Linked DNA regions of Drosophila melanogaster. The protein of the gene in region 1 interacts with the protein of each later gene in a pairwise test. Each region holds a gene or a part of one and is shown on either strand. Other genes may lie near its edges.

What was found.
Region 2: the proteins of CG15696 (region 1) and CG31612 interact in a two-hybrid assay, tested with the Drosophila melanogaster proteins (one large-scale study listed by BioGRID).
Region 3: the proteins of CG15696 (region 1) and GATAe interact in a two-hybrid assay, tested with the Drosophila melanogaster proteins (one large-scale study listed by BioGRID).

The regions. Positions count from the first base shown.
Region 1 is NT_033777.3:20,841,572-20,850,038, forward strand, and holds CG15696 (uncharacterized protein), read left to right. Parts: upstream 1-5,496; 5' UTR 5,497-5,539; coding exon 5,540-6,079; 3' UTR 6,080-6,177; downstream 6,178-8,467. Other genes in the region: CG15695 (uncharacterized protein), read left to right, coding at 762-1,462, 1,514-1,808, 1,877-3,058.
Region 2 is NT_033779.5:21,788,701-21,799,139, reverse strand, and holds the start of CG31612 (uncharacterized protein), read left to right. Parts: upstream 1-3,692; 5' UTR 3,693-3,746; exon of another isoform or gene 3,747-3,894; intron 3,895-10,439.
Region 3 is NT_033777.3:16,007,017-16,020,201, forward strand, and holds GATAe (GATAe), read left to right. Parts: upstream 1-5,257; 5' UTR 5,258-5,722; coding exon 5,723-5,767; intron 5,768-9,211; coding exon 9,212-9,549; intron 9,550-9,692; coding exon 9,693-10,626; intron 10,627-10,694; coding exon 10,695-11,190; intron 11,191-11,248; coding exon 11,249-11,579; intron 11,580-11,640; coding exon 11,641-11,737; 3' UTR 11,738-12,117; downstream 12,118-13,185.

The DNA.
Region 1 (8,467 bases):
GTCACGATTAGTGAAGATCGTGACTAATCGTGAAAAACTCTTGCTACAATGACAGAAAAAATTTGTTTTTTTTTTATTATATTACAAAGAAGCATTTAACTTGAATGTCTGCCTTATCATTTTAATTAGCCCAGGTAATTATTTTTATATATATTACAAACTCAGTAATACAAAGCTTAAGATTTCAGTGTGTACTTAGTTTTAATAATGCCGATCGCTTAGCAGCTTCATTAGCTCAGAAGTTATAATCACTGAACATCTGGCTTTTTTGGAAGCTGTTTAGGGAAATTGCCACGTCAAGCACCCGGAGACAATGGCATTTCAAACGTGATATAATTAAATCGTACCCACAATACTTGGTTATTGTACTAGAAACAATTCAGATATATATTGGGATAACGTAATCAGCTTCAAGTGGCAACGAATCGCCTTAGAAATAATTTTGGTACGTCGATGTACTTGGAGTTATCACCATGGACCCGACAGTTCCCAGAAACTTTGGAGCACTCAGTGGTTGGTTGAGTAGTAACAGAGAACCCCAAGCATTGTGGAATTCTGAAAGCTATCGTCAGTTGAGTGTTAAGTACCGAGCGGAGCGGACATATGGGGTCCGATTTGTGATAAGTCGCGGAAATGGTATGGATAACGCCGGGTCTAGAATAAATTTACCGGATATTACTGGATAACTATAGTTTAGTGCAATAAATATAACCGATTTATGTTAATGGAGAAGTTAGTTTTCGATTAGTGTCAATTCTATAATGACGAAAATTAAATATGAACTTGTTCCAAGTGAGGAGCAAGAACCAAACGAAAGTAAAAAACCTTTAAATTGGATAGTGAAAATATTATTTGTTGTCTTGGCGCTTTTTACCCTGGTCATTTATACCTTGAGCGGCGCCAATAATCCGCTCAAGAACAATGCAGATCCATTTTCCCCTTGGAAATCCATGAGACTCCTTGCGGGATCAGGTTGGACCAATAATCCCGGAGATCTGTCGAGTCCTTTGAATGTTAAGCATACAACTCGTAGTCTGAGTACAGAGAAGCAATCTACGGAAGCAATCTATAATAAACTAGCAGATACTGAGAGCACCACCGAGGATCAAACTGAGATAACTACCGTAGACCACACGGATGAAGTCGTAGAAAGTAGCACTTCATCACCAGCTACTGGAGCATCGAAAACAGAGACTTTATATGCACTGGAAGGAAATGGAAAGAAATACTTCGTCCATAGCCCGCAGTGCCAAATGAGCCACCCAAATCCGTTTGCCAATAACATTCAGCACATCTACAAGAAACATTCCTATATAGTGTGTGATAAAAGTCGCGACATGATCACAGTCAACTACAATGTAACTGACAGCACGTACAGGCTGCACAAGAACGAGAACTCCACCTGCTGCTTCAAGCAGATCCTTCGAGCAGGAACTTCAGCCAATGCGGATCATAAGTACAAGTAAGTTTCCAAGGACATAGAGATGGACACTGAAGATTAGTATCCCGGCAGGCTGGGTCCTTGCGTAGAATTTCACCAGGACTTCTTGGTGCCAACAGAAGTGAGTGCCATGATCACCTATTGCCGTCGGCCTCCATTCGATAAGGTGTCGCAAAAGGATGCCTTCAGTTTTGTGCATCCGCGAAAGGATCAGATCGAAAATCCCACAACGCCGCATAGAAGAAGGCCCAGCGTTTTGCTGTGGGGCATTGATTCCATTTCCCGAATGAATCTTGAGCTTACGATGCCCCGTATGTACGAGTACTTGAACAATCAACATTGGTTTGAGCTTCAGGGATACAACAAGGTAAACAATAATTTAATTTTGAATGAAAACACATGGATTTATTAAAACTGCAAGCCTTTCTACATTAGATGGGCGATAATACGTTTCCGAATCTGATGGCGGTTCTCACGGGATTTAACAAGACCTACGCGAACGCACGTTGCCATCCTGAGAAGGTGCGTGGCCTGGATGCCTGTCCGTTTATTTGGAAGGACTTCAAGGACAAGGGATACACAACTGCCTTCGCCGAGGACTGGAGCAAGTTCTCCACGTTTGACTACTCTAGCAGGGGCTTTTTCAATCCTCCGACCGACGTGTACGGCAGACCACTGGTCCTGGCCGTGGAGAAGGAGCTAACGATATTACAACGGGGTCAGATGCCCTACTGCTTGGGCCGCAAGCCGGCTTCCGAATACATCTATGACATGGGCGTGCAGTTCACCATGGTCAACCGGAACAGCACCTTCTTCGGAATGTTTTGGACCAACACATTCAGCCACAACGACTTCTCTATGCCCTCCGCCATGGATGAGAGGATGGTGAAGTACATGCGGACGTTGGACAAGAACGGCATAATGGATAACACCATCATCATCTTCTTCAGCGATCATGGATCCAGGTTTGGACCATTGAGGAATTTGGACAGCGGTTTCGTGGAAGAACGCTTGCCCTTCATATATATCCGTGTGCCGCGTTGGATTCGTGAGAAGTACCCGAAGCTCCTGCGCAACCTGCAGATGAACAAGAACCGCCTGACGTCGCCATACGATATCCATGCCACCCTGAGGCACATCCTGGAGCTAGACACTCCCAAGGATAAGCTACCTCGTCCCGATGGCTGCTCCAGCTGTCACAGCGTTTTCGAGGAGGTGGACTGGTCGAGGAATTGCTCACAGGCCGGGATCGAGGATCACTGGTGCGCATGCAACAGCTTCTCCGACGTGCCCACAACGGATCCCAGCGCCAGGAGCATGTCCACCCAGCTGGTGGAGGCCATTAACGAATATGTGGCCAGCAAAAAAGGAACGAAACGGTGCAGTCGCTTGAAACTGAACCGAATATCCTCAGTCCAGAGAAGAGGAAACTCCAATCGGTATCTCATCCAGCTGATGGCCCAGCCGGGTGACGCTCTCTTCGAGGCCACCGTGGATTGGGATGCCAGTGCCCAAAGGATTCCCGCTCAGATGCCCAGCATCAGTCGGTTAGACACGTACGCCGCAAAGTCAAGATGCTCGTCGGTTAAGGAGACCAAAAAGTACTGCATCTGCTGAGTTCCAACTGCAAACTCTGGACAACCGCTAGACCGCACAAAAAAGGACTCGCTACTGCAATCTTTCGGATCTCGGAGCCTTTGTTCTCCGGAGCAATGGAATCTTATCACTGGGGTGGATCTGTGGCCGGATGGTTAGTTGCTGGCAACTACTACTTTTGGCAAACGTAATTGCAGCTCGGCAAATTGTGCGAATGGAAAATTAGTTGACAATTACATGACAATTGGCAGATACTCGGGTAATTGTCGAGTGATTAGAAAAAAATACTGGCTCTAATTAACCCAAATCTTTGTAAATATTTTTTAAGCTAGTTGTAACAGCCGCTTAGAAATATAAGTTGTATCAACAACCCAAATCAGTTCTGCACAGTTTGCTTTCTTTTATAAGGATGGAAAACGTTTAATTCATATTAAACATAAATGCACACAAAGAGCGAATCCTAGATTATCTAAATATATATACATATATATGTATCGGGTATCTGGATTCGATAAAAAACGTTAGTATTGAACGCTTTAAGAGAGGCAGATAGGATAGGATAAAGTCTAAAACTAGGGGAATATAATATATAGTTACTTGGCACAGAAAAGTATAACTGACTAACTGAAAATATACTGAAATAACTGAAAACCTATTCAATCGAGATTCCCACCAAGTAGTCAATGAATGACAGTGGCATGTGTTTTACTAATTCGGTGGTTGTCATATGCTTTTTTGAAGACCTCTATCATAAATGAAGTAAGCTTCTAAAGGTTAGTGGTTTTTGATTTATGTAAGTGTTAACACGAAACTATGACATACAATGGTGCTGTAAACGGGGAGTGATGACATTTTCAAAAAGCTTATATCTTGCATCGGTTCCATTCAATTTGTTACCCATTTGTGGATAGGAATTGCAAAGAATTCCTTCTACGCATGGGGAAACTAAGAAGTTTCTAAAGATACGTTAAATAATTTCAAAAGAGGCTTGCATATGGATTTCGAGTAGTAGTACGCATACAGGATTTAGTCGATAAAAATAAATCTTTCATAAATGTAAGGGTATAAGAGCTTCGGCTTAGCAAAACTAGATTCCCTTTTGCTTATCAATTTGTTAGATATGAAAAAAGAACACCCAGAGTTGCAAGGCCTAGATAATTACTTTGTTGTTTAACAGTAAGCACCCGTTTGATTTATCAGTTAATAATGATAGATAAGTTTTCCCTTAAATCATTGGTTGTGGGCTCAAAATTAAAAAAAAGTCCCATGAAGAATAATGAAAATGAATTAGTTTTCATACGTGTGTATGCCGAGTTGAAGTGATATTTTGAGTTTCATTATCTTCCATTCATCAGTCAAAATGTCAAATAGCATTCCCACTAAGAAGGAAAATTTGAAATAAGATAATTGGTTTAATTTAAATATGAGAAAAATGAAAGTCGTTGATAAGCTGCCATTTACGAGCTTTCCTCTCTTTTGCAAAGTAGATAGTATTCTATTGTGGTTTTTATATGCTGGCTATTCGGTGGTTATTTTCAATTAACAGTGTAATTGATACTTTAGGAACTCAGCGAGGGTTGCCTCCAAACTCGTTTCGCAAAGGCAACTGTTATGAAAACAAATTTACGAATCAATCAAAACATACGAGCATCAAAACATATCAGGCTCAACTTGTTTTCCCATCGAAAGGGATGGACTGAAGTGGAATGGGATGAAATAGGATGGGCGGGCTTGAGAAAAACATGGCAGCGGATGATTTCATATCGGGGGCAACTACCCCGAACATCGCCAACAAAGCCACAACAAATCAAAAACTATCACATTCATATTTGTATTGAGGCATATCATTATACACCGAAGATCAGATGCGCTTCGCTTAGAGCTTTAGAAAATCAGTTTAACTCATTAGCGAGGCTATAAATGCATATGACATACATATGGCATTATATGGCACTGGATTAAATTTTAGGATCGGACTTAATTAAGTTGGGAATTTCATGAGAACCTATAGCATTGTCACTTATGCATATGTATGAAATAAAGCACATATACACATACCAAACATTTAATTCAGTATATGATAAGCTCTCCCTCCTACTTTAAAGTTCCTATTACTGTAGTCAGGGTGTTCAGATACAATCATTTAACTGAATTCGAATCACGGCGAACCTTTTACAGGGCGTCAGAGACAATTGAACACGTGTACTTGTACTTCATTGCCTTCGTGGGCCTAATCTGGACCGGTGAGAGGGTAATTTGGGTGGGCCAGCGGATTTCTACCTGGACGGCGAGAAAGGGAAACGCCTATTAAGCGGCTCGTTGCTTCCGAATGAGAATGGAATTGGGCCAGGCCAATCTTTTCGTCCTGCCAGACAGGGATGGCGATACTATCTGCTGGGATGCAAATGGCGGCGATGGGAGGTCCTTGCATAAATAGCTCGTGGATGCGCAGCCAGCTCAGCAGTAGCAACTCGACCATCACAGCGAAAGGATCGCGCCACGATGAGTGACTTCAGCATCGAGTATATTTTGAACCGAGCCGGCGACAGATACGTGGGCACCAATGCCTCCTTGGGCGTCCTGCAGCGACTCCGTGCCAGCTTGCCTTTCCATCCGTACGCCCACCCAGCATCTTATGTCTCAAAGGAGTCTGGAGGATCTCCTCCAGCCTCGGCTGCGGAGGCTCAGATACCCGTCTACGATTGGCTGCAGTACACCCGGTACCATCCGCCCAAGTTGCCCAGAGCCCTCCGCCAAAATGCGCCCGCCAAAAGGACTCCTGGTCGCCTGCCCCGCATACCATTTACTCCGCAGCAGCTGCAGGCCCTGGAAAATGCCTACAAGGAGTCCAACTATCTGAGCGCCGAGGACGCCAACAAACTAGCCGACTCCTTGGAGCTGACCAATACGCGGGTGAAGATCTGGTTCCAGAATCGAAGGGCTCGCGAGCGACGGGAGAAGCGCGAAAAGGACGAGAGCTGCGACTCCACCTTCTCATCGAACGCCTCCAGTCCGGAACCGGAAATGATCGTTGTAACGTGAGCTGGAGCAGGATATCCACGAGGACTGTTTACTGTTACGAATTTAGTGGCTTTCTGTAAATACACATTATAGGACTAAGTAGACCCATAAGCATATAGAACCAATCTGACAATATTAAATCTGTTAATTTGAAATTATTGGGTGTTTATATGGGTTATCATTTAAAACGTTTCAGCAAACCAATAATATTTGAAACCACGCTTAAACTGGATATTAACTTTGGTGTTAACTTGTAAAAACAACCTTCTGAACTTATAAAGACAATTCTGCACGGCCTTGTAAAAAAAATCGGTCAGTCATGCAGAACTTGAATTTCAAAAGATTGTTAATATAATTATCATACAAATTAGTTTTATATTAGTTTACTCTTTTAACTTAGAGAGTACAGTCTAGTACACACATATTTAATGATTCTTGGGTGTAATTTATTTTATTTCGATTCAATTCAACGATTTCGAAGAAGTGCTTGTAGATATGTATTTATTTTGGTTCGACAAATACAGTTTTTTGATTTCTAGGAAATGTGAAGTACACCTAATTGATATGATGTATTGGCAGAAGTGTTCGGTTGAAATTCACTAAGGTTTGATTAACTTTTTGCTATCTGGGTACCTTACCTCATTTATATTATCTTTTCCGAGAATCGAACGATTCAAGGAATCCTAAGGAAGCCGTTTCCCTTTCAGATTACGAAATACCGTCGGCTAATTAATCGGTAATTAAATATAACTTTAAAAGTTAGAAAATTTATTGTTGCTGGATTTGTGCCATTTAGTAACCTTTTAATTAAACAAATATAATATATCATGCACAGTAACACAAACGTTCATTTTTTGAGTGCCATTTTGAAAAACAAGTTTTAATGCAAGATTGCACTTAACTTGAGAAAGTTAAAACTCTTAGACATTAAAAAGTAAGTAAAACAGTAGGTGAGATAAATTTAATCAATAAATGATTTATAATTTACCAATTTGCTTTAAAAAATAAAATAAAATAAAAAGAACTGCAGTATTACTTATTAACCGCCAGTTCACATCCATTTCACCTGAAACAAATCGAATATAGATTGAGTAATTTAATATTTCAATGCGGAAACTGATTGACTTCACTGTTTTTTTTCTCATGCCAACATCACATAATGGGATCAAAAATGCCGACCCCACATATATGATAATACATGCATATGTATGTGTTGCTTAAAATGAAACGCATATGGGAAAATACGCACGAAAAGGTGAATGAAAATGTGGAAATTCGCGTGCCGGAAAAACAGCAAATGGCGAAATAAAGACGAGGGGCAGGCTAAGCCGATTTGGCAATTGTTGCCGTTGTTTTTATGGTCAAGAGTAATTTCTTTTTCCGCTGCCTTTGTGTGCAAACATTGTAAAATATCAGTTTACAAAGCGGCAGTTCCTCCAAACAGTGATTTTGGGGGAAATGATTTCGGATGCGTTTCCCTAGTCCATTTTCAGCCACAAGGTCAGACAAATGAGTTTACGCAAATCCAGGAGCTGTCTGCCCCTAATCCCGAGTAAATCCGATCATGGGCGTAGGGGAATGCCTGGGATATCTATCCAAATCGAAGTGGACAACATAAAGAGGGAAATGCACGCGACACTTTGCTATCTTAAATGAGCATCGAAAGGTGGTCGTTGTCGAAGGGTTGAGAGTAATATTAAATTTCGTATCTGGTATCGAAGGATCATTAATACATGCAACCCTAAATTATATATATACCTTTAATAGTGTATAGCCAAGGTCTTCTTTTCAAGACTCCGGATTTCCATCCAGTGCCCATCCACATCCTCGGAGGATCGTGACCAATCTAAGCCGCACTCATTAGACGTAGATAATTCGTGCAAATTTGTCAAATCGGCTTATGATTTGCATTCTATGAGCGAATGTTTATGTTACTAATCTAGTCCTGTTTGACAAACAATGCGGCAATATTTATTCAAATGGCGTAGAATAACACACAGCCCACAGTCCTCCAGGATTCCCTCTTCCGTCCACCCTGCGGATCAAACAAAGGACAAGCGCAGGCGCATGCTTATGGCCCATTTTCCGTAAATGGTTCATTTGTACTCGTAAGACGAGGCCCACAAAAACTTGGGAAAACGCTGAAGATGGTTGCGGGCGGACTAGTTTTTGGGCTCAACGTAATACCCATTTTGCGTAGATTGCGGTAATCGGGGTGTGCTGGCTTAGCGAGGCGTCAGCCAGACTGTCCTTTTGCGATCCTTTGAGGGAAAGGAGACAATGGCATGGCCAATGACCATAGCCCAAGCTTTATTCGTGTAATATTGCAGAAATATTATAAGATTTTCGGTCTACGAGTAATGATATAATACAAATTTAATTATTTTCAGGCTTTAAAAAGTAACTCTC
Region 2 (10,439 bases), on another chromosome or scaffold:
TGACAGAATTTAAAAAAATATTACCAACTTCAATTGTCTATATAATTCATATTTCAAAAATATATGATAAATGATATAGGAAATGAACGCTTTAGTAATTATCAGGCCCTTTTTGCGAAGTAAGTCAGCGATTTTCGCTTGCATGCTACAGCTAGTCGCTCCACGCCCACCAATTCTCATCTTTTTAGAAGCCTGCACAATGAAGATCCGAGATGCGATCACTAAATAGTGATCCTCTGGTGCTGTTCGAGCATTTCAAAATATTTTAATCGTGGATTTCAGTGGATGTGAAGATTTATGAACATAATAATAACAAATTTGCTAATTGATTTATTGTCGAGTGTATAAACACCATTCGCTTAATTTATGCCGCTGCCGTCTGAGTATTCCTTCCTTTTGTACTTCCTTTGAACCAGCTCGGAGTCAGCGAATTTATGCACTGGAGGAGCAACCAGTGAGCTAAAGCAATCAGGCCGGGCATCGAACGACGAGCACTGGGCGCGCATTTTGGGATGGGATGATGTACGACGAATGTCCTGCTACAGTCGCAAGCACACACACTCACACTGGTGCACAAACCGTTCATTATAAAGGAGTCAGGTCGTCAGGTGAGCTGAGCGAGAGACAACGCAACCGCAGGCAATCACTGGCAACAGGCAACACAAATTAATTATTAATCAACGGGAGAAGAAGCATCTGAAGGAAGTGGGGACCGTAACCCTCCCCTTCAACGCTCGATCCGCGATCGTCCAGCCACGAGAGTGATTTATGCCCTCAAGTCTCTGCTCCCAGAGCTAACGAATCTCAGAAAGCCAGCCCCTATCCAAGCCCCAATGCCAGACCGAAACCAACTGACAATGTTCCGGCCAAGATGGACGATGCCGATGGACGGCGATGGAGATGAAGACTAAGCCCAAAACCAAGACGAAGACGAAGGCCATGCAATCAAGCCCGGCCAACACTCAGCGGTAGATCGCACACAAGGTCAAGCACTCAAGCAAAAATGCCGGTGCTTGATTTTTAATTTAGTTTTAATTTTTTTTATATATTTTTTAAATACTTGGCTTTAAACAACATATGAAGCGATTAAATTAAACAGATTAACTTACATATAGCATTTGGGTATGGGAAAAACTTTTATTGTTATTATTTGCCATTGACTTATGGATTACCCAGATTTTTTAGAATGTAGGGAACTTTCATATTCTTAAAACGGGGATTTTCTTTAGTTTTATTATTGCGTTTTATTAGCAGATATCAATTTAATTCAATACAAGAGAGAAGGCTATAGTCGAGTTCCCCGACTATCAGATACCCGTTACTCAGCTAGTGTGAATCCAAACGCGAAATTTTATAATTTTTCTGGAATATCGGTATCGATATTGGGAAATAAAATGAGAACAAATTATAAAATTGTTCAAAAGTGTAGGCGTGAGCGGATCGGCGGCTTTTGGGCGTTAAAGCCATGGCAAACATTTTTTGCAAATCGATAGAAATTTTTAAGACTTATAAATTTATGGAAAAATTTCGAATTTCGAAATTTCGTTTTGTGCGGCTTGTGGGCGTAAGCCACTAACATGGGTCAACAAACTTGCGCTGCGGCTTTGGGTCTAGAATCTGTATGCTCTCTCTTTTATAGTTCCTGAGATCTCGACGTTCATACGGATAGACGGACATAACTATATCGACTCGGCTATTGATCCTGATCAATAATTTATATACTTTATATAGTCGAAAATGCTTTCTTCATCCAACGAATCTTTTGTAGTATACCCTTTTACTGTACAAGAGCGAACGCTGTAGTCGTGCTCCACGGGGTGTACGAAGGGCACAAGATATACTTCATTTGATTAAAACTGATTCTACATTCTTATCTAGTACACTTACAATCTAGTATACTTACATATATTTACTGTCCTGATGTAGGGTAGCGATGACTCGTTTTTCTCGCTTGGTTTCGGAATCTGACTAAAATATTGAGAAACTGTAATATATAACCAATATTTTTCGTTGGCTATAATGTCTGCTGCAGGGCGTCCAGCAAGAAGACTTCGCCGCTCTGTGAGCCTTTTGGTTCCACCCATATCAGTCAGCCCCCAAGTACGTCAGTCAGTCAGCGAATGGATGTTGTCCGTTGGTCCGGAGTCAGTCCGCCCGTCCGACTCTGACTGCCCATCGCACATGCAATGGCCGCAGCATTATCATTTGGGATACTCAGATCTTGGCGTGTCGAATTCAGCTTGCGGTGTCCGGGGTCCGCGCGGCGGATTGTGGAGATGGTATGGGAGGGCCTCAAGTTGCAACACAGACACTGGGCGAATCAGAAATGCCAGAATTGAAATCGCAGTTTAAATCATTTCTCGGTGGAACTGCTGCTTCTTCAGCGCCTCCTCGCCTACATGGTGCCCAGTCACAATCGCCTCAAATCTCGAATAACAAATCGCATAATTACGGGGAAGCGGCTGTCCATTGCGTACCCTCTCGCTCCCACTCTCTGCCATCAGTGCGTCCCGCTCTAGTCTTCTGCCTGGCAGCCAAACGAAGACGAAGGAGCGAAGGCTCGAGACGGCGATGCAATTCGGATATGAAATATTTTAGCTAAATGGCAGCCGAAGAAACAAAAATGTGGGATTGAAGCGTATAAATCAGCGGGTATTCGCTCCGTTGCCCTCTGGAGCCCACCTCTCATTTCGGTCCTTTGGATGCTGCATCAATATGTGGATGTGCAGCGGCTGTGTGGTGTCTATGTGAAGCATAAAATCAACCTGAGGCGATAAATCGAAAAGATTTTGCGCTGAACACGCAATTAGTTCACCTCTAGTGGAGGATTCCAATGACATGGAAAAATGGTTTTGATTTCGCAATATAAATGGATTTGCCTTGTGTCCCCGATTTCTATGGACACAACTGAAGGCAGAATATGTGTGAAATGTTTTCTTTGATTGGTGAATTAACATTCTTTTCTTTCTCTATCTACTATAATATACAATATTTTTTATTTATTTTTTTTTTAATTATTGCTCTTTTAAATATACGAACCAAACACACGTTAGAAAATATTGATATTTTCGGGACTTTACGTTGGACAAAACCAGACACTGCTATTCTTATGAACAGCATAAAAGTTGTGAATTTGCTCAAGAATTTAAGCAGAAAAGGATAACATGAAAAACTATTGGGATTTTCTTTTTATTCCTATATACACATTCCATTTTACAAAAATAAGTGAAATAAAAAGTCGATTCCAAAAAGGGAAAATACCTTTGTATTTCTTAGTTTCCCTCGCACTGCTATTTTATTGAACACAGCTGTAAATACATACATATCTGGGACACAAACGATGAGACACAACTGCGAAACATATTCTACACCTTAAAATATTTAAATAAGAAGTAAAAAAGAGTTGAGTAAAAAAACTAGACAGAACCGATCCAAATATTCTTTATTAAGATCAATAGCCATCTCAATCTATCCGTTCGTATTAACCTCGAGACCCCAATAGACCTTAACCGTTAGGAATTATAGCTCGATAAATGTATATATGAAAAAGATCACGAAGTCCAATCAAAAAAAATTGTAAGTAAATTACCCCCTAATCAGAAATCTCTGGTGTTTTTCGAACTTAAAAACCACTCAAATATTCGAACTTCTCTCTCTCAGTTGCACAAACGATTTCGAATTTCGAACTTCTTGTGGGAGAAGCAACTCGTCGCGTGCGTCGTACGCTTGCTGGTGAAAAGTGCGCTGTGAATTATGTTTTATTATCTGTGTTTTACAGTTTGTTCTATCGAATTTAAATGAAAATACGCATCAGCAACAGTGTTTAAGCTCTGCTTTGATGAGAAAAAACTATTTCCTCTAATCCAACCTTGCTACTTGCACTCCGATCCACAGGTTCGTAATATACATATGTATACCCCAAAATTATAAAATAAAATGAACATATTTATGTTTCGACTTGAACTAAGGTAAATACTATGGAATTATTGTTTGGTAAATACATTTTGGTTGCTTTTGGCCATTAAATTGTCATTAATTAAAGGTTTGCTTGCATACCGACAAAAATCAGCTGTTTTGCGGTTTGTAGGGTCAGTGGCGTACATCTCAAGAGGGGGTTAAAACATTTTCGTGTAAGCTAACAACTTGAAAGAATCTATTAGTGGTTGATATGGTACCTATGTTTTGTGAGTACGTTTAAGAACTAATAAATAAATATTTCGTTGTTTATTATTAGCGAAATGTTACCATATATTTTGTAACAATTTCCTAGTTCGAGACCCTCATCCGAACGCCTCTGTCCACAGACTGTTTTCGAAAATTCGACAAGCGAAAGAGCAAGAACAGTTATTGTCTCGTGAGCACAAGAGCGCGACCGGTTTCTGTTTCGCTCTCGCATGTTTGAGTGATTTCGAAAGATGGATGAGTTACTTCGAATTTTATGGGAGAAACAAATTTAATTCCATTTGTCGCCATTTCTGAAAAAATTAATCATTTTACAAATTAAATCGGAAGAAAATAAAATGAAATAAAAAATAAAGGTAAACCAACAATGCGTCGACGAATACATAGTAACGAAAAAATTCACTTTTGTTAAGTTTTTTCAAACATTTAACGTACATGTACATGATTTAAAATATTATTCTTTGCTATTCAAAAAATGTTACTAGGATTGCATCTCCCTAGGATAATATATTATTAAATAAACAATTACACGGAAAACTTGTTTTTTTCTACACCTATTACTTGTTGTTTAAAAAGGACATAGAGAGAAGAGTTGGTCCGTTTGATGGTCGAGACTTCGGAAACTAAAAAAGCCGAAATTTTTAGCTATCAAGGTTTTTGCAGAATGTTGCCGAGCCCACGTCAACGTCCACAAAACCGCCAAAAAATTTACTCCCACACTTTTACAAAATGTTTTCAGTTTTCTGCCCTTATAGTAAAATGGTATACTAGATTCGTTGAAAGAATATATGTACATATTCATAAGTAGATATTATTATAGATGATACTTATGTAGTAGCTCATTTTCATTATGTGTTATCTATAGGAGCTGTATTTGCTATTATATCAGGTTTAATTCATTGATACATATGTATCAATATATGTACATATGTATCATTCATTGATAGCCCAGTCGATCTGGCCATATACATATGCCCGTCGTTATAAACGTCGAGATCAGGAGACTAAGCATACAGATTCTAGAGACATTGTAATAGAAATGTCAATTGCCAATTTTTATAGATTCTTTGTACCAAAAACATTTTGTTTACGCCCCTCCTAACTACCTACAAAACGCACAAAACGGCCAGGACAACATATTAGAACAATTTTGTCATATCTTCTCATTTTATTTGCCAAAATCGATATAATAAATATCGCTATGACAAAAAAATGATGACATTTAATCTGATAGTAGTGGAACTTGACTATAGCATTTTCTTTTGTTCTTATTTTCCCTTTTTCTTTCTCCAACTTTTATCAATATGCAAAAACAATTTTTTTATGTATGTAAAAGCTATAAAACATAAAAAACAAAATTTTTTAAGGAATTTCCTTGTTTCAAAATGTTTTCATATATCCAAACTATTTCTAAAAGGAGCCCTAAACATAAACGCAAACATATATCCTCTTTGGTCTATTTGGAAATTAATAAAACGGACTTTTGCATGGAACGAATTTAAGCCAGCCTATAGTCAAGGTACAAAGCTGGTAAAAGTGCGAATTAGAATTTTCAACATTTTTCTGACATATCGATCGAAAGAAATATAAACTAAGTAGTAACGGGTAAAAATATTAACCAAAGATCGGATGGAAAATAGTTTGGCCATAAATACATACATACGTATATACAAATTGGAAGGTAAGGTGCCCTGTAAGCCGATGAACATTTGAGGAGCTCATAAAAAATGACTTAAAATTAATGTATTGAAATGTATTCGATTGGTAATCGAAAACATTTAAATTCTAAATTGCAAAATTTGTCGCTGATTTATTGTTTTGTAGAGCAGCATTTTTACGAAACTTCTGCGCAGGGCCAGTTTCCGAACCAAAGTGAATACAACAATGAAGAAATGGCTATTCCTTGTCTCACTCACTCACCAAACTCCATTGAAATGTCACTCAATTCCGTGTCAGATTGGCCACGCTCACTGGCCATCGTTCCTCTCAGAAGTTAGGAGTTAGTTAATTCAAGTTCTGAAATTTTTAGAAATGGAAGATATAAGATAACATCTTAGTTAGTTGAAAAAAATAACAACATAATATAAAATAATTAGTTGAAAAATATAAAAGAAAATTAATAAAAATAAAAATAAAAATTAATAGAATTTTATTTCTACCAAGACGTTATCTTCCATGTACTTTCGCAAAGGACATATCTGTTTAAACGACCCTGTCAACCATGTCCTTCATGCTCTTTTCTATTTTCAAAATGTATCCTATGCCCAAGACATTGACAATAGCAAGGACGAAAAGCGGACAACAAAGCAGAAGCGAATCAGAAACGCAAATAATATAGGATAACAGGAGAGCTGCGAATCCTGGAAATGCCTACAAGAAGGGTGGTGTTTTTAGACGGGTGGATGAGGGCGCCCCTCGGTAGACAATTAAAAATATATTTAAGCTGCCAGAGGTCTTGGGTCTAAACTTACTAAATGACTGACAAGTCCGTTGCCTTCGAAGCAAAACACTGCCCCGAAAAAGCGGGGCTGTTAAAAACAAGACAAAGGGAATTTTAAGAAAACTTCCCTCGCTTTTGTTTTTCCCTCCAAAGCACTCGTGTTTTTTTTTTTTCACCCACTCCAACTTCTCCAATCCGTAGCAAAATCAGTTTGAGTTGTGTGATTGTGTACGTGAGCATAACGGTTAAGGTGGCCAAGACTGGGTGCAGTCCACCCCAATGGCCACCCCCTGTCAGAATTGATTGATTGAATTGCCACTTTATGAAATTTGTGAGTCTTCGGAGATGTGCGTGGAAATTCGTGTTCTCGTCTTCGCCTTTCCTCTGGGGTGGATCCGTACGGTGGGTGGGTAGGGGTTTTTCTTGGGCTGGGTGGCTCTCCGAGGGTTGTTCCTTCTGATTTGTGTTTGTGTGCGCGCTGGCTAACAATTTGCAGCATAAAATACATAAAATTATGTGCAGCGCTGAGGCGGCCATTAAACTTGATAGATTTATGACGGACAGCAGCAAGGGAGCCGTACAAAAACAAAGCGAAAGTGTCTGAATGGGGTCTTGTCTTTCAGGCCAACCCCCGTGCAGATATAAAGATAGCTGATTAAAATTGCAAAATTGTCCAAATGAGATTTGGCGCCCAGCGGATATTCTGGAAAATGTCAGCGATTTATATATTTTGTTGCCTTATACATTTTAATACTTTTATATATTTACGATTAGCTTTAAGATTATAATTATATCTTGATTTAAACAGAATTAATATGAAAGCATATCAAAGCATATTACTCAATTATACACCAAGATTTTTTTTTAGAGAACGTGCAGATACTGGTAATGCTACACCGATTCTCACACTTACAAATCCATGCTCATTTTCTTGCGGTCAATTGTTGCCTTAGCCACAACATTGATTTAAATAAAATCAAAACATAATCTAAACAAGCCTCTAGACATGGGATTTGTATTTTCGGAAGAGTAGTGGGTATTTAACAGCCGACTCACTTGTTTCTTATTTTATACAAGGCAAGTGAAAACTCTACAGTCGAGTCTCTCGACTCTCAGATACCCGTTTCTCAAATAGTGGGAGTCAAAGCGAAAAAATTTAAAATTGGCCAAGTAAAATAAAAAAAATGCACACATTTTTTCAATGATGGAAATTGACAAGACAAACAATAAAAGATAAGACACAACAAAGTATGGTCGTGACAGTTTAGTTTAGTTTCTAAAACGCGGTTGCACAACGTGGGCGCCACTAGAATTTGGATGCTTTTGGCTTTAATAGTTCCCGAGATCTCGGTTACTGATCCTGATCAATAATTATGGACACCTTACAGGGAATCGCTCCAATTCAACAAATCTAGTATACCCTTTAACTCTACGAGTAACAGGTATTAAAATCAATGAACTTGAATCTCCTTGGGCTACTTCTTGAATAACCGTAATGAAAAAGCATCCAATTTAAATGCAAAATGAAATGGAGTGAAAGGCTTATTAGAACAGATGGGCGAAATTAAGAACTGGCCCAAATAAATGAAGTAAGATATCTAGAACCTATTTCTTTTTTTTTCTGGAGCTGGCAATTACAAAATGATTGAATGGTAATTTCGGAGGAAATGTTGGTTTTTGCCTTTTCTGTTTCAGGTCTATGAGGCTGTTCGGGTGCGTATGTTTGGAACTGGCATAAATTCCCATTATTTATGGAGGCTGCCCCTGTTTGTGATATTTTATTTCGCGCAAGGCAAGCGGAGTATAATTTGCGCCCAAAACAAACAACACTACAAAAAATGCCGAAACTTAACAAAGAAAAAGCGTCCTGAATGTTTGGAATTAATTGCCCAAGCTCCTCCAATCACAAACAGAAAAAGAAGCTAAGAGAAAGGGAGAAAAAATTGTTTTAATTAATAAAATTGAATGTGTGCGAAAATTGAAAGGATTTTTCCGGCCCCTTGGTGGTGCTGTTGTTGTTTCTGCGGCATTCATCTTCGACGCTCATTCGCAGGCTTTCCTCATTGGTCTCATTTTGAATGCAAATGATTTATGCCAGAAAGTGTCCTGGCCGAAGAGTCGGGGCCAAAAACTGGATTAGAGGGTGCCAGCGTCGGCTCGTTTTGCTTCACACCCCCTAAACTTTTTCGCCCATCGCAAAAGAGCGGGCACAGCCGGCAAAGTTTTAGCCCCAAACTTTGGAGGTCGCCTACGATTCCTCAATAGCCCGAGGGGTATGTGCCGTTAGAACCGAGTGGGCGAGGGGAGTTTTTAAATATTTACTCAACATCCTATTATCCCCATGCGGACTGGGCTAAGGACAGGCAGCGGACCACAACCCGGGCTTGTATCAACATTTAAAACGATAAACTTACCACATACACAGACACCCGACAGAGAAAAATGCAAAAAGGACGAAGGACACGTCTTGTCTGTCACACCAAAATGTCACCGCGGGGTGAATTACTGGCAAACCAAGGGATAAAAATGCTGAACAACAAAAATGTGCGAATGTCGGAAAAATACTGTTGGGCTTGTAAATACCCTTAAGTTTCCCTTAAAAATTTTTTAATAATATTTGAGCGAAGTAAGCTTACATTTAAACAGTAATAATATCATCATACATAATATCAACCCTACATAATCTACCTGACTTTATTTTCAGTGTATTCAAGTTTTTAATCGCTGGAAAGATTCCACTAAAAAAAGGCACTACGTCTATGTGTAAGCAGGACGACATCAGAGCGGGGCACGCGCCTCTCACATACAAACGCACAAAAACACACTGGGACACAAAACAAACAACAATGTGATAGACAGAGCAGGCCAGAAAAAGACACACATAGCGGGTGAAAGGGACAGAGCGACAGGGGGAAATGGGCCAAGCGTGTGAGTGATTTATGGCGCTGCAAGTGACGAGGACGAACCAGAATTCTTCAGGATAATGCCGACATAACGAGATTGTTGTATGTACACATTTTCTCCTTGTTTGCGCCGTCGGTTCGTTGCCGTTGTTGGCTTTCGGATCCGGATGTTCTGGAAGGAGGAGTTTTTGTAGGTGGAGTCGTTTTACGTTGTGTGTACACATAATGACACTTTTCGCTGAATATTCCCGCTCTGTTGTTGGCGTTGCGCACTGCAAATAGGGGCGAGATATATGTATGTATTTATATGTACACATGTGTATATATGAATGTTTCCAGCCAGTGGCGATGTGTGTAACTTGTCAGTTTATTTAACCTGACTGCGTCTGTGGGCGTACTTGAGCCCAAAGGACCTTCAATCAAATCCGTAATCCGTACTCAGTACGTTAATGAGCTTCTCATTAATTTGTCGTCCACAAAGGCTCACCTGATATTTTGTTTATGTCCCCAAGCCCATCGAATTGTGCAAGCCCATCGGAATCTGTTGTTTAAGCTGGATCCGCGCGGGTAAATAAATGTAGGTTTTGCGACATTGAATTCTTTGAATAGGGCGTCATTTGGTAAGCGAGGCAATAATTATTTATCGCATTATTTATGAAAGAAAACCACTTCTTAAATAGGTATGATATACTAAAGTATATCAATTCAATGAATTGCAATCTTTTAAAGAACGTTAATCTTGCGGAAAAAATGACCCATCCTATTGTCCGGAAACCTGTCCTTTTTCTTATTTTCCAACACTGTTATAAAGCTTTACAAAATACTGTTTAGTTTTAGGCCAAAGTAATAATACAATTACAATATAATTTAAATTTTCAACTATACCGCTCCTTACATTCCCCAACTATGATTGA
Region 3 (13,185 bases), 4.8 Mb from region 1:
GCCAAGCAGCTCAGCTGAGTCGTGTAAGTCGCTCGATATTCTGCCATCTATACACCATATATATAGAGTATAAGAAATTCACATTATCCCTGGTTTTTCTCGGCTGCGGTGCACCTAATTAAATGTTTGACATCTGCATGATTTGTTTAGCGTGAAAATGCTGAAAAGGTAGAAATGCTTAGGCATAGGTAGACCATAATATGGGTATGGGTTCAGGTCGGTATTGTGCAAACAGATTGCATTTAGAGCAGTCGGATCCCCCACCCAATGCTCGATTTCCACCCTGCGCTCCTCGGCTCTTTCTGTTTGTTGTTGACTTGACTGCTTTTTGATGTCTTCTTCGGGTGGTGTTGCTGTTTTTTTCGTGGCCTTATCGCCAACTGACGTTTGTACCTCAGAATGTGTACTTAAGATAACGAAAACGAGGAAGAAGCAGCCAGGCCTCAAAGTAACACGAAGGGGGCTACATCCACATCAGCAGCAACTCAAATGAAAAAGAATGTCGCCAGCTATGAATTGAACTTTCGATGGAGAGACACAAGCTTTCATAGCCAAACAGATGGATAAGATCGATGGGAAAAATTGTTATGCTCGGACCGAAAACTGCACCTCATGGATGTTTGGCGATTTCTTGGAAATACAATTTTGAGGTGCCTTTGTCGTATCGCGGGCAGTAGTTAATAAGCATATTCTAATCTAATCAGCGGATCGTTAATTAACTTCCAAAGTTGACTTTCGCTTTCTCAAGTGTTACTTGAGCGCTGCTTTGGCAGTTGGAATTTATACACAGGGCCCAGCAGTATCTTATCGATGAGCCAAAGATCAAATTTTCAATTCTCAAAACACACGCCAAAATTTCCACAATTCATTGGAAGCTCTTATATAAACGGCTGATTTTGTTAGGTGCACTGTGTGGATAGCCGGCCATTGAGTAATCCACATTTGATATATATTTTGTGATTATTAAAGCACTTTATCACAGATTTATATCCTTAGAGGCAAGCCGATCATCTCTTTTTTTTTCGTTTCGGGACGAACGCGCAAAAGCAATGTTTCCATGTTGAAAATCCCAGTTACACTCACCAACTGTGATTAGATTCCATGCCGCTGGGCGTCCAAACTTAAGGAATTACTGAAAAATTCAAATTATTATCGCTTATTATCTTGGGACATTATCAGTTCAAACACTGATATACTGATACAGACCGCGAGAGAGAGCCATGCCCAGGCCCAGGCCCAGAACCCAAACCAGCACCCAAACTGGAAATGGAACCTTAACTGGCTGCAGATACCCCAAACTGATACCGATATCCTACCAACAACAACAGCAGCAACGACTGCAACAACAACTAACAACCAGCAGCGAGTCCAATTGATAGGAAATCTTCATTATCTTATAAATACGGCTGCATTGGTGGTCGTGTATCGCTAAAAAGCCAAGATTAGATACTTTTATCTAGCTGGGTCAACCTCGTCCCCTTGTCCACAACCCATCCCCAATCCCGCGCCTCGAACGGAATTGGCGACGTCACACATAGAGTTCCCCCATTATCGGTTAAGCAAATTCCAAGACCGACTCGGATGTTTGTCCAAGAGGAGGAGCCGTGCACTAGGTTAAGTATCCGCCACCGATTGACTTACGATTTCGGTTGGGTCTTGTTGGGGGCCTGCCACCGGGAGGGATATCTCTAAATTCTAGTTGTGGAGTCGAAATCTCTGTTAAGATACGTTAACTTATCTAAGGCCACTATCTATTCTCAGATATTCGATATGTCCCTCTATGTATACCATATACATACGTACGGGCCGTATTAGAGGCGTTGGCGATAGGGAAAATCGCTTTGGTTGATAGGAGCAATCAGCGGGTGTGCAACACCCAACGGAGTTTTCATTCCAGAAGAGCATTTTTCCTCAGACAGCCGCGGAAAAGTGACATGCTACAACTCGGTCCAATTTCAACTCAAATCGGTGGCAACGAGAATCCCATCCATAAATTTCTCATGGCTAAATCGCAAGGCTTTGAAAGCAACGAACAACAAAATGTCAGCGCTCATAAGTAATAAATAATGTTTGTATGCGTTTTGGGGTCGACGGAGTCGTCAGTTAACCAGCTACCTACCCAAAACCGAATCGAAAACCCAACACAGTCCGTACTCCACTCCGGGTACCCACTCCAAGTGCTGATCCCAATCAACCCCAGTAGCCATGATTGTTAACGTTAATGGCGTCGATGTCGTTGCTGTTTTGTTGCCGTTGTGGCCTCCGTTTCATGTCTTACGTTTCCCAGCCAAAACAATGCCCAGCAGCAAGCGCACTGAGCACCTCTGTCGGATTATTATGGATTGCCAGTTATAGTGATGAGTCACAACCTGGCCCCATTGGCAAACAAAGGTGCGTATACTTAACAAACAAGCAAGAGAGTCTCACAAAAAAGAGACCACTGCCAATCGCAAGAGGCTATGCAGTTGGAATGGAATATGCATTAGATCGAAAATGTATGTTAATTGAAATCATAGTAAGATATGGATAAAAATTGTATTAGTTTTGGTTATAAATAATAAGTTATTGGTTTAATAACATACTTACCGCTCCTCAACAAGCTCCTCCACAAAAACTCTTGTTTCTTCTCTGATATCCGAACTTTCCCCTGACTCACTCGAAAGATACATCACTGTCCGAGTGTCCAATCCATAAATAAACGAATGAACATTCGTTAGCCAAGTGACAACTCTTCGGAGCGTAAACAAAGAAAGCTTAACTTTTTCCTTGCCAGCTCCTTCTGCGGAATTGGACCTCCTGCTCTTCCAGCTGGTAGGCAGTGCCTCTTCCTCCACCTGGGACCATGAAATCCCGCAGTGCGGAGTGCGCAGTTCCATTTTCATAACTCATGTCCGAAATGTTGTTAGCGTGCTTTGGCCGGATGATTTATGACCTCGGCGCGGGTTAATAGAATTTACTTGAACCCAATTTGCCAGCGGTTGCAAAGCGCAGAGTGCAGCCGCCCAAAAGGGAGAGCCATTACGGCACTTCCATTTGCATCTCCATCTTTCCATTCCATTTTTATTCGATTGAGCCACGCCATTGCGGCTGGCAGGGATTGGGCAACCAGCCATGCGGGGTGGGACTTTGGATCGAATCGGATCGCACCCCTGCTGCCGACTATAATTAAAACTATGGCGCACGCCTTTGTTGCCACTGGCACGTTTAATTTCCAAAGAGTTCTTCCCCTTATCAGAACAACCCGTTTGTGCCGCCAAACAAAATTGGAAAAAGACCAAAAAGGAAAGCTAGAAAAATAATACAATTATAACCAAAACAAGAGCGCAATAAAGAATATATAAAAATTAAATTCCATAGCGTCATTCCAGACAAAGATCGGCGATACTGTCAACTGGCCGAGAACACTTGAGGCTAGATAACTTTTAGGCTATGGTTTCTTAAGGTTTTGGTTCGCTTCTATGGTCTTTCACGGACATAGCACTTGAAACTCCATGGAGGTGGACAAGTTGAAGGGTGTACGATTCCGGGTGTACACGATATGCCATGGTCAGCAATCTTAAGACTCTGTCTGTTTCGCCGCCCCTAAGTCTTCCGTCTTAGGGTCGTAAATTCGCCGGCAAAGCACCTAAAGCTAGGCGCGGCGGTGCCATCAATTAGGGTATTAATTGCCCGGCTCTGCCGTGGCAAGAGAGCCACCTCGATGAGTCAGTCCTGTGGCCGGGTATCCAGTTTGGAGTCCTCCTCCTCAGCATTAATCTCCTGTAATGTTGATTTCGTGTAGCGCCATTTGTAACGATCGAAACTGGCATAGCCGTCAACTTTTTGAGTGATTAATCACCGCACAGATATTTCGCGACACGCAGCAGTAGCTACTATTAGATACTTTTTGTCTGCCGGTTTTGCTCTTAAGATTTGCCCATGATTTATGCACCGCATGCGTTGCAACAATTAAAATTATCGCCTCAACTCGATTTCCATTCATGGGAGCAGCGGAAAGTTGCCCGTAATTGTGGCATTATAAGCAACTCCGAGGGGATTGTGCATGTTAATGGCCGTCATATATCTGCTTGCTTTATGACTTTAACTATAAACAATTTATGATTCGCTGGGCCAACTTGGCTGGGTGGCCAAGATATGTGGCTAACTTACAGATTGCAGCTCTTCGAAGAAAAGAAAGCAAGGAGTTGGTACGGATTGCCATAGGGGCTTAGCATTAAGCATATAAGCCTAGATTGAATTTTTTAGAATTTAAGTCATGGTTTTCATATACATTTTATTATAAAATGTACTATTTAGCTACTACATCCCTATATATAGTAAAGATATGTTTACAATATTTATCTACACATACATCTCTGCTTACAAAGTATCTGTAATTGACAGGTTGAAAAATATATCAGATTTCTGACCAAGCACTCCAATCACCCAACCACTTCAAACTCAATCTTTTCCTGGCTGGTGACAATTCAGGGGTTTTGCAATATATGCGCCGCACCTGATCCTCGACCACGTGTGCTCCTGCCCTCCACCTCCGCCTCCTCCGGCGGTGTTTATTAGTTACAACACTCGAGAGTGGATTGTGAAGTGTGGAGAACTAGAAGAACTGGAGAAGTGGAAGTGGAGCGCAACAACCGAGCAGTCGAGCTGTCAAAGCGGCCCACATTCGGGCGACTGTTCGTGGGGTCATATAAAGTTTCCGTGCCCATGCCCATGCCCAGTCCCACTTTCCAGGCCCAAGCCCGATCCGATGATATTCTGTTGACGTTGACTAACGTTGCTCGAGTTTATTAGTTTGCCAGAAAAGTGTTTTATGAGTGCAATTAGAAAATGCGCTAGACTAAATTGCACAATTGACAAATAGCAGGGGGCGAGGGTGAGGAGCGCTGAAGGGTGGAAATGGAATCAAATGTGGTGCTGGCTGAACTGTGCCGGCTGGTGGGCCTCTTGACGCCACTCTTCGGAAACCTCGGAACATTGGTGTAACATAGGTGTGTTGGAAAATCGGCCGAGCGCGCAGGCGCAATTTGTATCTCACGGATACTTATCGCAACCGTGGCACCAACACTCGTTGCGTATCTTATCGCATGTGTGTCGATAAGATAACCAATACCAGGCGAGGCGGTACAGAATAAATCATAACGCTGCCACACCGACAGGACCACGCACCCACACAGGTGTGAGGCCGCCCAACCGCAGAGGCGCTGGATCTTCATCGGTGTGGGTAGCTAATTGGGCGGCAAACGCGCCGCAGGCACCGCATTGCGTCGCCGTCGTTGTTGTCATCGCAAGTGAGGTGCTTGGTGCTCAGAGTGCTCAGTGTTTAGTGTATCGAGCCCATAGACCGGAGACCAGTGCCACCACCAGAGCCCAGTTGGTCTCGAAAAAATAGCACTTCGTATCACTGCTAACTGGCAAAGGTTGCGCGCGGGCCACAACCACAATCGCCCCACGGGTGACAGCATTAGATCGCCCCCAAAGCTCCAAAGTTCCTACTTTCCCAAGTTACCAATTTTCGTCAATTTTCGCCAATTTTCCCCACTTGCTCACTTTGCGCGGCACTTTTTCGGGCGCCCAGATTGATAGGAGAAGTGAACCAAACACCTGGACAAGCCGTGCTTGTGATAAATTTTTGAAAACACAACAGAACTGAAATCAAGTGATAAAAACCAATCTTAGATAAAACGCTGGAAGAAACGCAAAGAAGCGGCGTAACTTCAATTTGATGGTCTGCAAAACTATCTCACCGAGTGTAAACATGCAGCTGAAGGTGGGTAAAATAAACTTATAATTATTCAAAAATAGTCAGCGTAATTTTTGGGTATTATATATTAAGTTTGCCAAGTCGGTATTTTCTTTTCAAAACCAATTCCGTTTAAAATCCATATCGGAATGGAGAATATCAACCTGACCGCTTAAAGCAACTATACGTGAACTCTATTAAAAACATTTAAATACCTTTTTGATGCTCATTTACGAGATCTCTATAAGCCTATCTATCATTTCTACTTTGTTGAAAGATCATAAAAGTTTTTAACGTTTTCTCACACAAGTTCATTAAGCTAAATAGACAGGCCATATAGGGTCATTAAAAGCAGATAGTTCAAGTTTATAGATCAGTCGCAAGGCACGAATAAATATTAATTTATTAATTAACGGAGTATAAAGAGCTTTCAAAGGTATTTACAGCTCGAATAGCCATATAGATTTTACATCCTTCGGTGTACCGAGCCAGAAAATGATTTTAGCCCGCAAACGGCAGCGATATGGATTTTTTTCAGTTCTAGCGCCAGGGAAATAAGATAAGACAAATTGATTTATAATGAATGAGTCATCTGGGATGCAGCGGCAAACTGCGACACTTATTTTGGTGTCTGCTCTTGGAAGAAAAACCGAACCGAAACGAACCGAAACCATTAAGAAAACGAGAATGGGTACGAAAACGGGGCAACAAGAAAGCAAGTTAAATGTGGAAAGATGGCTAATCTTTATGAGGTCCAAATTCAGCTGCGATCGAAGGTGGCGTCAAAATACCTTTGACAAAAATAAAATTTGAAACACGCAGCCGACTTTCAACTGCTCGCTCCTCTTCATTCATGAAAAGGGACTGTTTTTACCCATTTTTTGCTGGCCACGGATAATGTGAAATTTATGTCAATCTTATCACCTCGCTTTGGTCCTGCTCCTTATCCCTGTCTCTAGCGTATCCTTCATGGGCTTGGGGTTGGTTTTGTGAATGAATGCCAACCCTTGGCTCATCTGGGGGTACTTTTTATCCTGCCGGAAGTGTCCTTTCGACCAATGGAAGAACAGTCCCTTAACAGTTGCTCAATGGCGGCATCGATAGTTGCAGTTCCAGTTGCAGATACTTTTATTAGACACGCGTCGCCAGTTGACAGTGGATGATGGCTGATAGGAGAGAGGGCGAAGGTTGCGATTGATGGCCCTTTAATAGAGCTGTAAATGCAGCTGGCAGTCGAGAGTCTTATCTCACTTTCATTAGCCAACTGCAGTGAAGTTTAATTAATCGAAGGATCTTCTAACGAGGGCAGATATAAAGGGTATAAATGTATATCCAAAAATGGGTACATTTATTTACTTCCCATTCTTTTGTTAATTATATAGATATTTTGAAAGTGCTCTCACATCTTTAGCCTTTAAGCAGTCTTACCCAAGAAATTGTTCATATTTTTTTATAAGTCTAAAATAAAAAGTAAAACTGGCAAAGAATTTCCTCGAGAAATTTAGAATTTTAACAAAAATAGCATTCATCACAACTGCATTATATTCAAGTTTTATAGTTCTATTCAGTTCTAAATGCCTTAAAATGTTTGGTCAGAGCTGCCTTTGAAATTTGCTCAACCACGAACCCAAGCTCAACGAAAGCGAAACGAGGTGCGATTATATAGTCAATATCTTTTGTTTATATAGATAAAGTACGAAATGTACGTGTGTGTGTGTGTGTGTATGGTTGTGGGTGTGACTGGGCAGATTTCATTCATAAGTTCAGCGGACTCCACACCCTCGCAACGATTCTTGACTAAGCCGAGCAAATAGCGCATGCCATTGCCATTCTCGGGTGACAAACATCGCTTGCACAACTTTTGTAATTCTTGGATATATCTGTCCCTATTGATGACGTAGCCGCAACTGAGAGTGGGTGCGGGCAGTTGGGGGATACCAACCATGACCTCTCAGTCCCAGCAGCAGCAGCAGCAGCTGATTATGTACATTGATAGCGCCCGGATAAGATATTGTCCGTATCGTTCGGCCGTAGTATCTTAACTTTTTCGCGGTACATGGCACGTGCATGGGGGCCTACCTATCGTACTACTACTATATACACACACTCAAAGTCGGGTTTATCTGCATTTCGGGCAGACGATTGTCTGAAGTGACGTTTGCACCACATTATCTCGCACCCTTTCCATCCAGGGAATTCTTTGAACTTTGGCCAAGACGTTGAAAACTTGGCACGGTCATCACCGCCGGCGGAATGCAATCAGTTTCCATGGAACTCTTTCGTCCCCCATTTATATGCCTTCCACATAAGTAATTAAACTTTGTACCTTGGTAAGCGTTAGATTTTTCATTTTTACGGCTTGTCACCAACTGAATCATCATTGAACTTGGCTTGTGTCCACGCAAAAAATGTATCAATCATTTGTGGCACGTCAACCTAAAGTTCTGCGAAAGTGAATCAATTTTCATTAAATGGAAGATAAAGTATTAGTTTTTTCATATAAAGGGAGAGTGGGGATTTTTATGGAATGTATTAAATCAATTCAGCGTGGTGATTATTTTCGGAAAAAAAAAACACCTGTACAAGTATATGGTTATATCTCAGTTAAAAGCAATTATCTTTGCAATATATTTCAATGGCCACAAAAATTTTCCTTTAGTGTTGCTGTGGATTTCCTCAATTGACGGTGGTGATGGTTACACATAAGCACACACATTTTTTGGTATATTTATAGCCATGGTAAAGGTGGAAACCACCTGAAAGCCTCTGAGCTATATGGCACTTGTCATGAGCGGACTGGCGGTAAATTTCAACCTGGCCGCATCGTGAATCAGGTGACAGTGACGATCGAATGTGTTGACACAAGCTCGAGGATGGGAATGGGGATGGGGATGGGTATGGGGCTTTGGAGTGGAAGTGGAAGTGCCACCCCCAACGGAATGAGGTCATAAACCCAAAAGCGACTGACGTATGGCGGGGAAAGCAAAGCGATTTTATGGCCAAGTTTAATTTCCGCCAAAAGCCAAACTAAACCAAAAAAAAAAAAAAAAAAAACCACGAATACACAAGAAAAATGAAAACGAAACCAAGGCACCGCTCTGAGTTTAGGGTTCTGTGAGCAAATACTTCTGCTGGTGGAAATGAAATGGAATAAAAGTGAAAAATGTGTTCGACAATGTTGACACTGAGCAACTGAGTGGTAGAAAGGAGAGGGGTCGCCTCCAAGCCCGTCTCCGTTCGGCTCAGTTTCTGGTACTTTACGGTTGTAGGCGACAAATTGAGCTGTGAGTCGAGCGCGGGCGGTGTCTTTGAAGTCCGTCTCAGCGGTCTTGGTTGGGCTTGCGTCTTGTTGACTTTTGTGGCGGAAACCGAGGCGGGCAGTTCGCACTGCAACGGCCGGAACTGGAGCCACACTTTTGAGACGAGCCGGGCGAAACATGGCATTCAACACTTGTCGCTTGCTCATTGCAGATGGAACAGCAGACAACGCAGCAGCAGCAGCAGCAACAGCAACAGCAACAGCAACAGCAACAATTGCAACAGCAACAGCATCAGGCTCTAACCAAGCAGCAGCTTCAACTGCTGGACAAAATCAAACTCGAGTCCAGCAACGGCGCCGATCAGTTGGCCCAGCAGACGGCCAACAATCTGGATGAGCAGCAGGAGCAGCAGCAACAACACCAACAGCAAGCCGCAACATCGGTGGGCGTGGTGGTGCAGACGGGCCAAGCGGGCGTCAGCGAACCGGAGGAGCAGTACGTGGTGGTGCCACGCAACCAGCGCCGTATTCTCACCACAGCCGGCACACTGTAAGTAACCTCTGGAGACCTTCTTTTCCTAAGAACATAAGCATTCACAAATTTCATTTTTAAACACAATCATCTAATGCAAATGGCAATCGATAGTTACAATTTACCATTGTTATTTAACAGTGTTATTAACAACATTTCAGTGAATTAAACGAAGCTCGTGAAGGAGAACCGAGCACAAACGCCAGCAACGCGAGCTCAGGATCTGCTTCGGATAGCCACATCGAGTACCAGCGCAGTGCACACCAATCTCCCGGAGCCACTCACTACGTGCAGATGGCGCCACGCAACGCAGAGGTGACGGAACAGGTGGGAGCTGCTGCCGGAGCTCCGCCGGGCACCATCTTCGCCTATCCTATTATCTGCAACGGTGACGATGTGGCCGCGATCAAAATCGAAACACTCGAGAAGGGAGAGGCGACGGGGGAGTCGCAACAACAGCAGCAGCAACTGCAGCAACACCAGCATCAGCAGCAACAGCAATGTCCCACACCCAACGGAGCTAGCTACGGCGAGACCATAGTGATCAGCAGCGAGGCGGAGGCACTGCAGCATCACCACCAACAGCAGCAGCAGCACCAGCAGCAGCAGCATCAGCAGCAACACCACCAACACCAGGCGGCAGCTGCAGCATCGGCGGCGGCCCAGACGGTTCACATTGCCACCAGTTCGCATGGTGGAACCGTGCGCTTCGTTACGGAGGATGTACGCTTCACCACCGCCGGACCGGAGACATCCGCCTCGAATATGTACTACGATGTACCCGTGGTGGATGGCAGTGTGCATGCCAACGAGTCCAAGACCTACGCCGACCTAGGCAACGCATATGCCCCCTTCCCGCCCAGCTCCAGCTTCAGTAGCAATAGCTATGCGGCAACGCTTCAGCAGGGAAACACTATTTACAGTGTTCCGGGCACCGGTCAATTCTTGGCCAAGTCCGAGTCTGGCCTAAATCAGACTGGACTGCTGCGCCAGACTGGACCGGCTACTTTTCAGACGATATCTTTTGAGGGCGGCAACGGCATCGAGCCTTTATGGGCATCTCCCGCCCCGCCGGAGTACCAGAGTGTTCAATTTGTAAGTATAATTTAAGTTACTGGTTCTTGAGGCGGTACATACTAACTGTTCTCCCGCATGCTGCACAGAGCAACTTCCATCCGCAGGTTATTGATGAATACGGGAGCGGCAATATGAGCACCTCCCACTGGCCGCCCGCCAGCAGCATAGGGCAGTACGATGGAAGTCTGGTGACCGCCTCGTCCACATCGTCGCCCAACCACGAGCTAAAGTGCGAGAACTGCCATGGGCCGTTCTTGCGGAAGGGTAGCGAGTACTTCTGTCCCAATTGCCCGGCCTTTATGCGGATGGCGCCCCGTATAACCCAGAGGCAGGCGAAGCCCAAGGCCGCCGCCGCCCCCAACAACCGGCGCAACGGGGTCACCTGCGCCAACTGTCAGACCAACTCGACGACCCTGTGGCGTCGCAACAACGAGGGCAATCCGGTGTGCAATGCCTGCGGACTGTACTACAAGCTGCACAACATGAACCGACCGCTGTCGATGAAGAAGGAGGGCATCCAGAAGCGCAAACGGAAGCCTAAGAACAACGGAGGAGCACCCATGCACCGAGCACCGCTGCCGAGTGAGTACACCTGCCAGGGATTACAGTATGCAATAAACTAATCCCAATTCCCAACCAGGCATGTCGCAGGGAGTCAACCTGATGGCCAACAGTCCGCTGTATCCTTCCCAAGTGCCAGTTAGCATGCTGAATAGCCAGCTTAATAGCCAGCAGAATTCCAGTCCGGAGCTGCACGACATGTCGACGACGGGTCAAGCGGGTGGGCAACGGGTGGTGTCCATTTCGCTGAATGCGACGGCGCCGCCCACCCCCGACGGAACGCTCAACATGTCCGCCCGTCATCACGTGACCGGCGAGAGCCATTCTCCTTACAGTCAGCAATCAACGCCACAGAGTCAATCGCCCCATCTGCCCGGCACGGTGCCGATAAACCGTCAGATAGTTCAGCCGTAAGTTAAAGATACTTTTCGCTACCCTGTCGGACTCCTCAATAATAATCATACCTTATAGAGTACCCACCATCGAAAGCAGTCGCAGCTCCAACACTGAACTGACCCCCAGCGTAATCACGCGCACTGGTCTGCCAGAGCGATCATCGAATAACTAAGCTAGCTTTGACTTATGGCTTAAGCTACGCACTAAAGTAACCTATAGTTAACCAAACCCAAATTTCAAAAATTGCCAAAATATTTATTTAAGCCCTAGCCGTTAGTCATACTATATAGCCAAGACCAATGTCCCAGTTAGAGGAAGATTTTGCCGGGTTTTCCGGGTCTTGAGTAACCATTTAACTGTGCAAATGTCTTCCTCCTTTTAGTCAACTGCTTACAGCAAATAGTTTTGAAATGATTTGTGCCAACCACTTAGGATCGCTATACTCTATATAGAGGTAGTTTAGCCCAAGACAGCACAAGCCCATAATGAAGCCTACGATTTTGTATGTTTAAGCCTCTTTTTAATTCTACAAAATAAATAAGTTGTAAACGCAAGGCACTCGGACTTTGATGGCTTTACCAGGATGCGAGGTACCTTGGTGGAGATCGTTATATTTCATTGTCAACAATTTGGCAGCCAACCAAATTGATCCAAATTAATTTTAATGACCCCCACGGACCACAGCGCGAGACCATAAAATCTTAACAAGTTGGCAGGCAAGAGACCCGCGATGGGGCAACCCAGAGACGAGGAACCCAGATCTCGCGCGGATCACCGAAGCATTGGAGCAGTGTCTAAATAGCGATTTGGTGTCATCGCTTAAAAGCCTGTCCGAAGCACAGTAACGCCACCGCCCGCAGCCGCTGCCTTTGATCTGCTGTCGGCGGTACGGATGGCATGGCTCGGATGGTATGGCATGGTATGGCAAAAATGCCCCACAGCCCGGGAATGGAGTCCAGTTTGAGTTCGAGTCGAAGGAGGTATGGTATTAACGCCTTGCGCTTGGGGTCTCTCTTTGTCCGAGCCTTCTTTTTGTTTTTGGCGTACGCTCGATCAATTAGGCAAACTTGTTTTACGACCGCTTTTATTAGCGTCCGCTCTGGCCGGCGCTCCAAGTTTACCGATTCGAACTCAAGCCGCGGCTCCACTGGAGAGACTACCACTTGGACCGAAGCCCCAAGTTGGTTGCGGTTTCCAGACTGCGGTGCGAATGAGTAATGAGACGGCGGTCCCAGCACCCGGCAGCTATGGAATGTGTTGGCAAAAATTATGTGCAGCGTCAAGTTGTGCAAGTGGAATGGAATGGATTCGAGGGCATCGAAATGGAATGGAACTAGTGGAGTACTATAGAAAATAATGGACAGCATAGGAATGATCACACTAGCACTACAAATGCCCAAGCTGACCAGAAAATATTCACTTCTTTTCTGTTTTTTTCGGGCATTGTAAAACTGCTCCAAAGAGGGCTAAAATCTTATTTAAAGTTGTAAATCGAAATGAATGTATATTTCTCTATCTCTGATGGTTATCTTATGCTATTTTTTGATCATTTCGAGCTCTAAAAGATTGCATTTGAATTAAGTGTATACACGACATCCTAAAGTAATGAAAATTCATAAT